Linked DNA regions of Arabidopsis thaliana. The protein of the gene in region 2 interacts with the protein of the main gene of each other region in a biochemical or structural test. Each region holds a gene or a part of one and is shown on either strand. Other genes may lie near its edges. The genes, in order: SDG4 and AMS.

Region 1 (5,565 bases), on a different chromosome or scaffold from region 2:
GTTGCCTGACCCTTAATAACATTGTTGAGTAACTAAAACATATATTTTCGTTTCATTTATACGTTTCCTAAATGATTTGATAATATGGGGAGTGTTGATCAAAACAGATTAAACGAACGAGGTAAATTGAAAGAGTAGGTAACTTTTTATTGGCTTTATGGCATAAGATTCTCCAAGGAGGGTTGATTCATAAGACAAGACAACACGTACATACATATCTATATTTAATTGGTATGAACATGGATTATGTTATTGATTTATTTAAAACGCGTCAAACAATTGGATATAATAATTAAAAACTGAATGAATGGTTCGCTTACCAAAGCAAAATATAGTTGGCCCAGAATTCGATGTTGGCATGTTACGACTACATTGCTACATTGTTATCATCAATGTTTCAGATTATTTTTAATTTGTACTTTCATAGTAATTCACCGCAATGAACGATGAGGAACCATCGAATCGGACTAAACGAGGGTAACAAATTTTGAGTAGTAAAGTGTAGTAACAACAAATGAGTGAACAAAAATCGAATGGAACCGTACGAATATAGTAATAATTTTTGTTGTTCGCCTGCTGAATCTCAAATGATAACCTTTAGGATCTTTTTAGCAAATGATAATCAGTTTGTAATCTAGATTTATTTGGAGTTCTTCATTTTAAAATCAAGATAACGTGGATCCGGTTTGATCCGGTCTAATTCAAATTTCATAATATAAATACAAGAATATTTCAACATTAGCCTAAAAATACATTAAAGAAAAGAGTGTAGTATTTTCAAAAGATTTGTTGTATATCATACAAAATGAATGTATATTGTTTTGTGTATAATTATATACAAAGTTGTCGTGAAGTGAACATATATTCTAGTTTGCTTAGTTGGTCCGTTTTTCATCTAAATCGATTCTTAGACGCCATAATTTCTTGCTAAGAGGATTAAGTATAAACTATGTGTACATGGATGAGTAAATTCTTTGGATTATTTAACGATTACTCATTATCTTTGTAAAGTGTATAAAGAAAGGTGAGTATTGCGTGGTGAACTGTGGAAACCTAGACTCAAAGATCAATACTTTATTAGATTTTGTTGCTAAATATGGTCTAACAAAGCAATTTACGCTAGGTATTTTGTTTGAGTATAGTAATCAAATGAAAACTGAATTATCGAAATTTAGACAATAGACACTAACGAAATGAAAAAAAAAAACGAAATTAAGATGTTATACAAACTGATTAATCCATTTATCTTTCACTAGATGAAATCATAGATCATTTTTCGTGAGTCTGTAAAGATGTATGATAAAAAAAAGAGAGTAATTAATTAAAACATACCTAGAAAGCATATAATTTGATTTAAGTTGTGACATAACGAACCTAAAATGACATGTAAACATATCCAAAAACGAAAACGAAATATCTTGTTTATAACTAACAAACCGAACACTGATCAATACGATATACTTTCAAATCATGATTTGATTAATTTTAGCTATTTGTTCAGTTCCGTTTTGGGAACCGGCATTAATCATTGCGTGTAGCACTGTTATTGGTAGATATGAATGTGGGGGATTTTAGTTGGTAAAGAAATTTAACTAGCAGAAAAAATGTTTGGGGGCAATTAAAACAATATTTAAAATACAAGGACCTTTTTGTATAATATTTTAGGACAAATCTCCCGCCTTAAATTCCCTCCATATTTTTTCATGTCTCTTCGCTTTTCGCCTACCCAACAAAGACAAAACGTAACTGTCTTCTTCTTCTTACTCTTCCATCTTTTGTACTTTCGAGTTTAGGATGTTAGATCTGGGAAACATGTCTATGTCTGCATCTGTTGCTCTCACTTGTTGCCCTTCTTTTCTTCCGGCGGCTTCAGGCCCTGAATTAGCCAAATCTATCAATTCCCCGGAAAATCTAGCCGGAGAATGCAATGGGAAACATTTACCAATGATTCCACCGGAGGAAGAGGTCAAGGACATTAAAATTGCTAATGGAGTCACTGCTTTTACCCGGAAACAGAATCCGTCTGACAGAGTCAAGAAAGGGTTTGTCTTGGATGATCATGTGAAGGATTGGGTCAAGAGAAGAGTGGCTTCTGGTGTTTCAGAGTCGACATGTTTCCTTCCTTTTCTTGTTGGTGCCAAGAAAATGGTATGTTGTTTGTTATGTCAAATTAATGACTTGTGAAGTTTTTAGATTTATTGACATATAGACTACATGGGATTTGGATTTTAGGATATACATAATATCTTGAGTTATGAAGTTTGTTTGAAGTATATTGCATCTGTGAATTGAATTCATCACCTTTTTTTGGCTTTAGTGATGTCCGTGTAAGATCTCATATTCATTTAGATATTGTTTGACTACTAGTTTACTTTTAAAGTCATTCGAATCTTCAAGTCAATTAGTGACTAAGTTATTAGATTTATTGACATAATGACTATATGGGATTTGGTGTCAGGTTGATTGTCTTGTTTGCCATAAGCCGGTGTACCCGGGGGAAGACTTATCGTGTTCTGTTCGCGGCTGCCAAGGCGCTTATCACTCGCTTTGTGCGAAAGAAAGTCTTGGTTTTTCTAAGTCAAGCAAATTTAAATGCCCTCAACATGTAAGATCCTCATTTATTGTTTAGAACTAAGGAAGATTTCTCTTCATTTTTATTGGCTGGCTTTGTATTCAATGAAGCAAATCATATTTTGTTGCTCTTATTTTTGGTAGAAATGCTCAGAGAGACGATAGGCCATCAAATAGGATATACTTAACAGTTAGTTCTAAGTAATAGTGTTTAGGTAGGGAATTGAAATGGATTATTTTGATTGTGTGGTATCATTCAGTTTCTGATAGAATGGAGTATGCAGGAGTGCTTTGTCTGCAAGCAAAGAACACAATGGCGGTGTGTTAAGTGTCCAATGGCTGCTCATGATAAACATTCTCCATGGTCAAAAGAAATACTTCACTTAAAAGACCAACCAGGAAGAGCAGTTTGTTGGAGGCATCCAACTGATTGGCGGCTAGACACAAAGGTTGATTTTTTAGTTTACCGCTTTCATAAGATACTTCTTGAAGCTTCTTACGATTTGTACTTTCATAGAGTTTTACTCACAGGACTGACAAAATCTCTGTTGATTGAGCAGCATGCAGTTGCACAGAGTGAGATTGAGGTCAGTGTTTCTTTGCCACGTGCCAAATGTGACTGTAGTAAAGGAAACTAATTCTTACATAGACTTGCCGCTCGAAAATCAAAAAGAGGGAAGAGATTTGAAAGCTGGATATTTTGTTTTTATCTTACACAATTTCAAGAGCTAGGCACTGAATGTTTATCTACTTTCTTATTCAGGAAGTCTTTTGCCAGTTGCCTTTGCCATATGTGGAAGAGGAGTTTAAGATTGACTTAGCATGGAAAGATTCTGTTGTGAAGGAAGATCCGCCTTCTTATGTGCACATTAGACGCAGTATCCTTTATAGTTTCCACATTCAATATTTCTGCCTTAAAAGTACATAATTCTCATTTTTTCACAACATTAGTGTGTCTTTTCCTTGACTGAGTTAAGATATTTACCTCGTTAAGAAAAAGCGTGATAATGCTAATGATGGTGTTGGGTGCACAAATTGTGGCCCTAATTGCGATAGAAGCTGTGTTTGCAGGTATATTTGTTAATTAACCAAACAAATTTTCTCTGTTAACATTCATTTCGTTTTGAATAGTTTCCGTTTTGAAAAATTTCTCTCAGGGTTCAATGCATAAGCTGTTCAAAGGGATGCAGCTGTCCTGAAAGTTGTGGAAACAGACCATTCCGCAAAGAGAAAAAGATCAAAATTGTTAAGGTAAAACTAGTCTCTAGTTTATGATTCTTGCATTACACTCTTCTTGTGTTTTTTTATCTTGACATGTCATGTTATTGGTTTTACAGACTGAACATTGCGGTTGGGGAGTTGAGGCAGCAGAATCAATCAACAAAGAGGACTTCATTGTCGAATACATTGGTGAAGGTAAACTATCTTGATTTGGTCTTTGAGCCTTATGTTTGTGGTGGAAAGCGACAGAGTTTTTAGTGATTTGTTTTCACTCTATCCACAGTGATTAGTGATGCTCAATGTGAGCAAAGGCTTTGGGATATGAAACACAAAGGCATGAAAGACTTTTACATGTGTGAGATTCAAAAAGACTTCACGATTGATGCTACCTTCAAAGGGAACGCCTCTCGGTTTCTGAACCACAGTTGCAACCCAAACTGTGTATTGGAAAAGTGGTAAAGCATATATTATTTCATATAAATATGTCGATGATGCTCGAGTAAGAGAGCATGAGTCAGTTTGATTATTTTGTTCTAACAGGCAAGTTGAAGGTGAGACCCGTGTGGGTGTCTTTGCAGCTCGTCAAATAGAAGCAGGAGAGCCACTTACATATGACTACAGGTCAAGTTCTTGACCATTTGTTTCTTTTATGTGCTTATAATTAGCCTAAGTAATCTGAGATTCTGATATATTAGCTTCTCTCTTTGTGTAATGGCAGATTTGTGCAGTTTGGTCCTGAAGTAAAGTGCAATTGTGGTTCTGAAAACTGTCAAGGTTATCTTGGGACAAAGAGGAAAGAACCAAACTGTTTGGTTGTATCTTGGGGAGCAAAACGCAGAAGATTGTTTCACCGACCTATAGCCCGTAAACCGCAGCAAGATTAGCTGCAAAATATCTATAAACAATGTGCTTTGATAGTTTGTCTGTTGTCGTTATCTAGTAATCTCTGTGGAGATATAGAACCAATCGTGCTTGTAACCGAAGCTTAGGCCCACAATTGTATAACTGCTAGCTGAAGCCACGGGATAGACCGGTCGGTTATACCATACATTCTTTCAGTTCCATTACAACACAATTATTATTTAACCCTTGTCAAATTTGAATCTGATTTAAGAAAATACATTCCCTTAAAAAAAACTATCTAAAGATCTCGCACTATCATGGCAGAAAATTCGACAGAACAAATTTTTTGATATAACCAAACAGAAGAAAACAAATTATATAAAGACTACAATCATATTACAAAATCGCTATAGCAATCTAAGTATCAAGTTTCATCATGTGACTGGTTTCGCTCTGCCTTGAGCTCATCAGGTGATCGAGTTTCAGATCACGACCAGTTGATTAAGGGTCGGCCTAGTCCCCTTTTTTTGTTTTTATTACAGAAAATACAAAAGTTACAGAGAATACAAGGTCGGGTTGCAGATCACGACGTTACGGATCATCGTGGAATGTGGGTAGAAAGACTCATAAGACTCCATGAATTCGATATGTACCTCAATGGTGCGAGGATCAGGTTTCGGGATACGTCTTTGTTGTTGTTGAAGTTTCTCGACTTTGTTGTTTGATGAAAATATGAAATTAATGTATTATTGATAGATAAGTAAACAACAAAATAGTAAAACCCAAAGATGAACCAAGTGACAAATTGTGACAACTACATGGTAGCTATCCTAATTATCGAACATAAATTTTTCATCAAAAGTCTTTAACGAACCAAGTGAATGACATGTTTCAAAGTCGAATACTAATTATTGTACTGGTTTAAAAGAT
Region 2 (5,214 bases):
GAACGGAATGACACTTGGACTAAATTTTTTAATATGTATATTTTTCTTTCTTAAATCAAAAACTTTACAAACCAATAATTAATGTTTTAATAAAAATTGTTAATGACACAAGCTGCGATTTGAGCTGAGCTAATAAGTTAAAATCATATTTTTCTATCATACCATTATAACATATGCTTAAATATATTCTCAACATATTTTTTTGCCATCCTTAACACTTAAACTTCCAAATGATATAAAATTGATATTTTATTGAATATTATAATACACATGTTCTTTAAGAAAAAAAAGATATCAAAATTACCAACAAAGCTTATAATTAAAAATTGTACTAGCTGAGTCATAAAATTCTTTATTTTAGTTCTGTTTTCCAACTATTTATACCGTAAATATGTCAGAAGAAAATCATATAAAAAATTTGGAGTGGTGTTGTAACAATACTAAACTTTAGGATGTAACTGGTATGTAATCTACTATCTTTTCCAACCAATCGAGTTTGAAGAGGTAGAAACCCACCCTAAAACTCACAATTCATAGATAGTATAATTCTAATAATATAATCTATTTTCTTCTTCTATTATGAAAAGTGATTTATATCACTTCTCCTATTATTAGATTTGTAGTTATAAAAAAAAAAATATTGGTTCCACAATAAGTAATTCTACCTGCAACATACTTTTTTTTAACCAATATATACCTTTCATTAAACAAGAAACCGAATACAAAGTCCTGCCTCCTATAATGAATAACACCTACAACATAACAAGCAAACAGAGCACATTATGAATTACAAAGAGCAAAGCAAGTTGCTAGAAATGAGATTCCATGGAGGCCTAATCTTTGAGCTCTTGACAAAGGATCTAAATGACACCGAATGATGTTTTTAATCTCCATAACGAGATTGTGTAGCAGAGAGTGTCTTTCTTTACAGATGATATACATAGAGGCTTGGTAAGCAAGTCGAATTTACTAATCAACAACAACAACATACTAATCAAATATCCTAAAATGTGTTTATTACTTATTAAAAATTTGATTCTTCCGGAATCGAATTTAAAATCCATCATACAAGCATTAAACTCTTGATCAATGTGCATGGGTAGATCTATGCAAAGCACATAATATAACTATTGAAGACTGAAGAGGAACATGCGTGTAGATATGTATTCAGATGAAGAAACTTACGTCCGACTATGGGAGTGGTTTGTTACGTAATCATGAATTTCAGCTTCATGAAAGGTGGACAGTTGGGTCTATGGATATTTATTAGGAGACAAAGCTAGCTCAGCTTTTGCTAGTTGCTACGCATAACAATATTTATTTGTCGTTTATTCTCAACTCAAATATTTGCATATGTCTTCACACAATTATTTCTGTAAATTTTTATCACTCTATAACATATTTTACGTCGGAACTAAAGAATCAAGGAAAACTAAAATCGAATAATAAGAAAATGACAAAGAAGGGAAAATAAATAGTAGTTGAGACACCGAAAGAAGAATGAATAACCTAAACGCAACGAAGAGAAGCTCTCAACAAAGTTAGTTAGGGTTTTACACGTTATCTTAGCTCATGCAATCTGCCCCTTTCATCATTCTAATTCTTTTTATAATATATACTTTTTATACTAATGTGTTTAGTTACATTCCACATATATTATACAAAAAATATAAAAGTAAATACATACATATACATGATCGTCATGCATGTCCTGCACTTAACCTACCAAAAACAATCTCTCCTAATAAGAGAGAAGAAAGAAAAAAAATTATAACTCAGATATTTTCACACATATATAAATAAAGTTTTGTGGTGACGTTATTTTACACGAAAAAGCTCAACCTTGTATGGAAGTAATTAGCTGCTACCTATTACTGATTATTCTTCTTCTTCTTCTTTCTTCCAATTTCTTGTCTTCTTTTGGTACAATTTCTTGGCTTTCTCTTGTCAAGTTTTCACCAGTCACAAGATTTTTGAGGAGCCTTGTTTTTTCCGAGAATCTTGTGTAAGTTCTTGTTGGCATATTTTCCTCATGATATTTTAGCTCTATCATCATGAAAAATTATACATTTTGTCCCCTCTAGTTATTGTTTCTAATCTCTTTTTTTTGTTACTAACAAATCCATTAAATATTGACGCAATAGATTTGTGCTTTTGTCAGTAATCATATTGAGAGATTAATGGAGAGTAATATGCAAAACTTGTTGGAGAAATTGAGGCCTCTTGTGGGTGCAAGGGCTTGGGATTATTGTGTTCTTTGGAGACTAAACGAAGACCAAAGGTTGATTTGATTCTTTTAATAAGTAGTTAAGCTTTAAAGAGTTTTTATCTCTATCTATCCATCTTTCTTTCTCTTTCGTCACAAATATTTGTTATTGTGGTTTTGGAGGAGACAGGTTTGTGAAGTGGATGGGATGTTGTTGTGGTGGGACAGAACTCATAGCGGAGAATGGAACAGAAGAGTTTAGCTACGGAGGTTGTAGGGATGTTATGTTTCATCATCCTCGGACCAAATCTTGTGAATTTCTTTCCCATCTTCCAGCTTCCATACCTCTTGATTCCGGGTATGATCATCTATAATATATATACAAGCTACATATATTCTTTCATAAGAAACGCCTAGAGATGGAAAAATATGGATTTTGCTATAGGATATATGCGGAGACTCTTCTGACTAACCAGACTGGTTGGTTGAGTGAGAGCTCAGAACCAAGTTTTATGCAGGTACTATTACCCGATTCTTGGAGTTTTGAGTAATCACAATCTCATGAACAAGAAGTATTAATTTTCGGTTTTTCTTATATCCTGTAGGAAACAATCTGTACTAGGGTTTTGATTCCTATACCGGGAGGACTAGTGGAGCTCTTTGCGACCAGACATGTATGTTTATGTCTCAATAATGTTAAGTTTATGGTTTTTTGTATTGTGGTTGTTTGTGATGATGTGTGCGCGTATAGGTCGCTGAAGATCAGAACGTGGTGGATTTTGTAATGGGACATTGCAACATGTTGATGGACGATTCTGTAACGATAAACATGATGGTAGCAGACGAGGTCGAATCGAAGCCGTACGGGATGTTATCCGGTGACATCCAGCAAAAGGGTTCCAAAGAAGAAGATATGATGAATCTCCCTTCGTCTTACGATATCTCTGCTGATCAGATCCGACTCAATTTCTTGCCTCAGATGAGTGATTACGAGACACAACACTTGAAGATGAAGAGTGATTATCATCATCAAGCCTTGGGGTATCTCCCAGAGAATGGTAACAAGGAAATGATGGGTATGAACCCATTTAACACGGTGGAAGAAGATGGGATTCCAGTGATTGGAGAGCCTAGCTTGCTTGTGAATGAACAGCAAGTTGTTAACGATAAGGATATGAATGAGAACGGTAGGGTGGATTCAGGGTCGGATTGCAGCGACCAGATTGATGATGAAGATGATCCAAAGTACAAGAAGAAGTCAGGAAAAGGATCTCAAGCCAAGAACCTGATGGCTGAGAGACGGAGGAGGAAGAAGCTAAACGATAGGCTTTATGCTCTCCGGTCGCTTGTTCCCAGGATAACCAAGGTATCTTGGTTTTCGTCTCTGGGTTTACTTCTTGGTTTCTGAGTTATAATGCGTTCTCTGAAACTAGTTTTTGTGGCATGGAAGTTGGACAGGGCGTCGATTCTTGGCGATGCAATCAACTACGTTAAGGAGTTGCAGAATGAGGCAAAGGAGCTTCAAGACGAGCTTGAAGAGAACTCAGAGACTGAGGATGGATCTAATAGGCCACAAGGAGGGATGAGCCTGAACGGGACAGTGGTCACTGGGTTTCACCCGGGGCTTTCATGTAACTCCAACGTTCCTAGCGTGAAGCAAGATGTTGATCTTGAGAATTCCAATGATAAAGGACAAGAAATGGAGGTTAGAGCATCATAACAAGAAACTAACTCTCACCTTTCTTCTAATCTGAACTCTAAAATCAAAACCTCATGATATCGGTTTATGTTGGGTTGCGGAGTTTCAGCCACAGGTGGACGTGGCTCAGTTAGATGGCAGAGAGTTTTTCGTAAAGGTGATTTGCGAATACAAACCAGGAGGCTTCACAAGGCTAATGGAGGCACTGGATTCTCTTGGACTAGAAGTCACAAATGCTAACACGACTCGCTACCTCAGCCTGGTCTCCAATGTCTTCAAAGTCGAGGTATGATCTAAAGGACCTGCGGAATGGAGAAACAAAAACCAAAGCAAAATATACAAAAACTATATGTTTCTGTTTTCCCATGTTACAGAAAAATGATAACGAGATGGTCCAAGCTGAACACGTAAGGAACTCGTTGCTGGAAATAACCCGGAACACATCTAGAGGATGGCAAGATGATCAGATGGCTACAGGCTCTATGCAAAACGAAAAGAACGAAGTTGATTATCAACACTATGATGATCACCAGCATCACAATGGTCATCATCACCCATTTGATCACCAGATGAATCAGAGCGCTCATCATCATCACCACCACCAACACATCAACCATTACCACAACCAATAAGGACCAATTCCCCAAAGCTATAAAGATGTCTGCTTTACAAGCAAAAGAAACATTCTGCATCAACAAACTTTGAAGATCTTTTCATTTCAAGATATATAAGGATAAAAGGAATGTCAGTTCGAGAACAGTTCCTGTATCCAATACCAGGAATAAACCAAAGCGAAACAACTTTACTTAAATAATCTTTGTTAGAAAAGTAATTTGACAACCCATGACAAAAGAAACAGGTGTTGAAGTGCACCCCTAAAACTTTTAAGTAGGCCCCAAAACATGACCAACCAAAACAAATTCATTTGTCGATATTGTTCGACCAGATGGGGTTACAACTTAGTATCGCTTAATTCTTGTATAACTCCAAAAAAACTCTACTACACACGTTTCAGAAATATCTGAATTTGAAACTTGTAATAGTAAAGAAGCCGCAAACCTTCACTTGGTTCATTGGCAACGATCGGTGTATCCAGCTCCTTTTAGGATTGTGTTATTGCTGCTGCAGATGCTGGAATTCATTGCAGTCAGCTCCTACCTCGCTCAGTGCTGAGAAAAGCTTTGGTGCTATCTTAGCCAGCATAAGCTTAAAACCAACTGAAGTTGAATTAGCGCTGCTGCGTTCATCGATAACCGAGGCATCTTTGGTGAGGGAACCTATGAGATATCCTTTCATGTAGGCGTCACAT

What was found.
Region 1: the proteins of AMS (region 2) and SDG4 form a complex in vitro, tested with the Arabidopsis thaliana proteins (one study listed by BioGRID).

The regions. Positions count from the first base shown.
Region 1 is NC_003075.7:15,022,752-15,028,316, forward strand, and holds SDG4 (SET domain group 4), read left to right. Parts: upstream 1-1,692; 5' UTR 1,693-1,794; coding exon 1,795-2,148; intron 2,149-2,458; coding exon 2,459-2,605; intron 2,606-2,855; coding exon 2,856-3,020; intron 3,021-3,131; coding exon 3,132-3,158; intron 3,159-3,334; coding exon 3,335-3,449; intron 3,450-3,548; coding exon 3,549-3,642; intron 3,643-3,728; coding exon 3,729-3,822; intron 3,823-3,908; coding exon 3,909-3,987; intron 3,988-4,075; coding exon 4,076-4,247; intron 4,248-4,332; coding exon 4,333-4,413; intron 4,414-4,510; coding exon 4,511-4,676; 3' UTR 4,677-4,921; downstream 4,922-5,565. UniProt on the Arabidopsis thaliana protein: Histone methyltransferase. Involved in stamen development.
Region 2 is NC_003071.7:7,329,541-7,334,754, forward strand, and holds AMS (basic helix-loop-helix (bHLH) DNA-binding superfamily protein), read left to right. Parts: upstream 1-2,180; coding exon 2,181-2,281; intron 2,282-2,396; coding exon 2,397-2,564; intron 2,565-2,651; coding exon 2,652-2,724; intron 2,725-2,811; coding exon 2,812-2,880; intron 2,881-2,957; coding exon 2,958-3,572; intron 3,573-3,656; coding exon 3,657-3,911; intron 3,912-3,944; exon of another isoform or gene 3,945-4,014; coding exon 4,015-4,191; exon of another isoform or gene 4,192-4,270; intron 4,271-4,279; coding exon 4,280-4,537; 3' UTR 4,538-4,714; downstream 4,715-5,214. Other genes in the region: UBC23 (ubiquitin-conjugating enzyme 23), read right to left, coding at 5,019-5,214. UniProt on the Arabidopsis thaliana protein: Transcription factor. Plays a crucial role in tapetum development. Required for male fertility and pollen differentiation, especially during the post-meiotic transcriptional regulation of microspore development within the developing anther.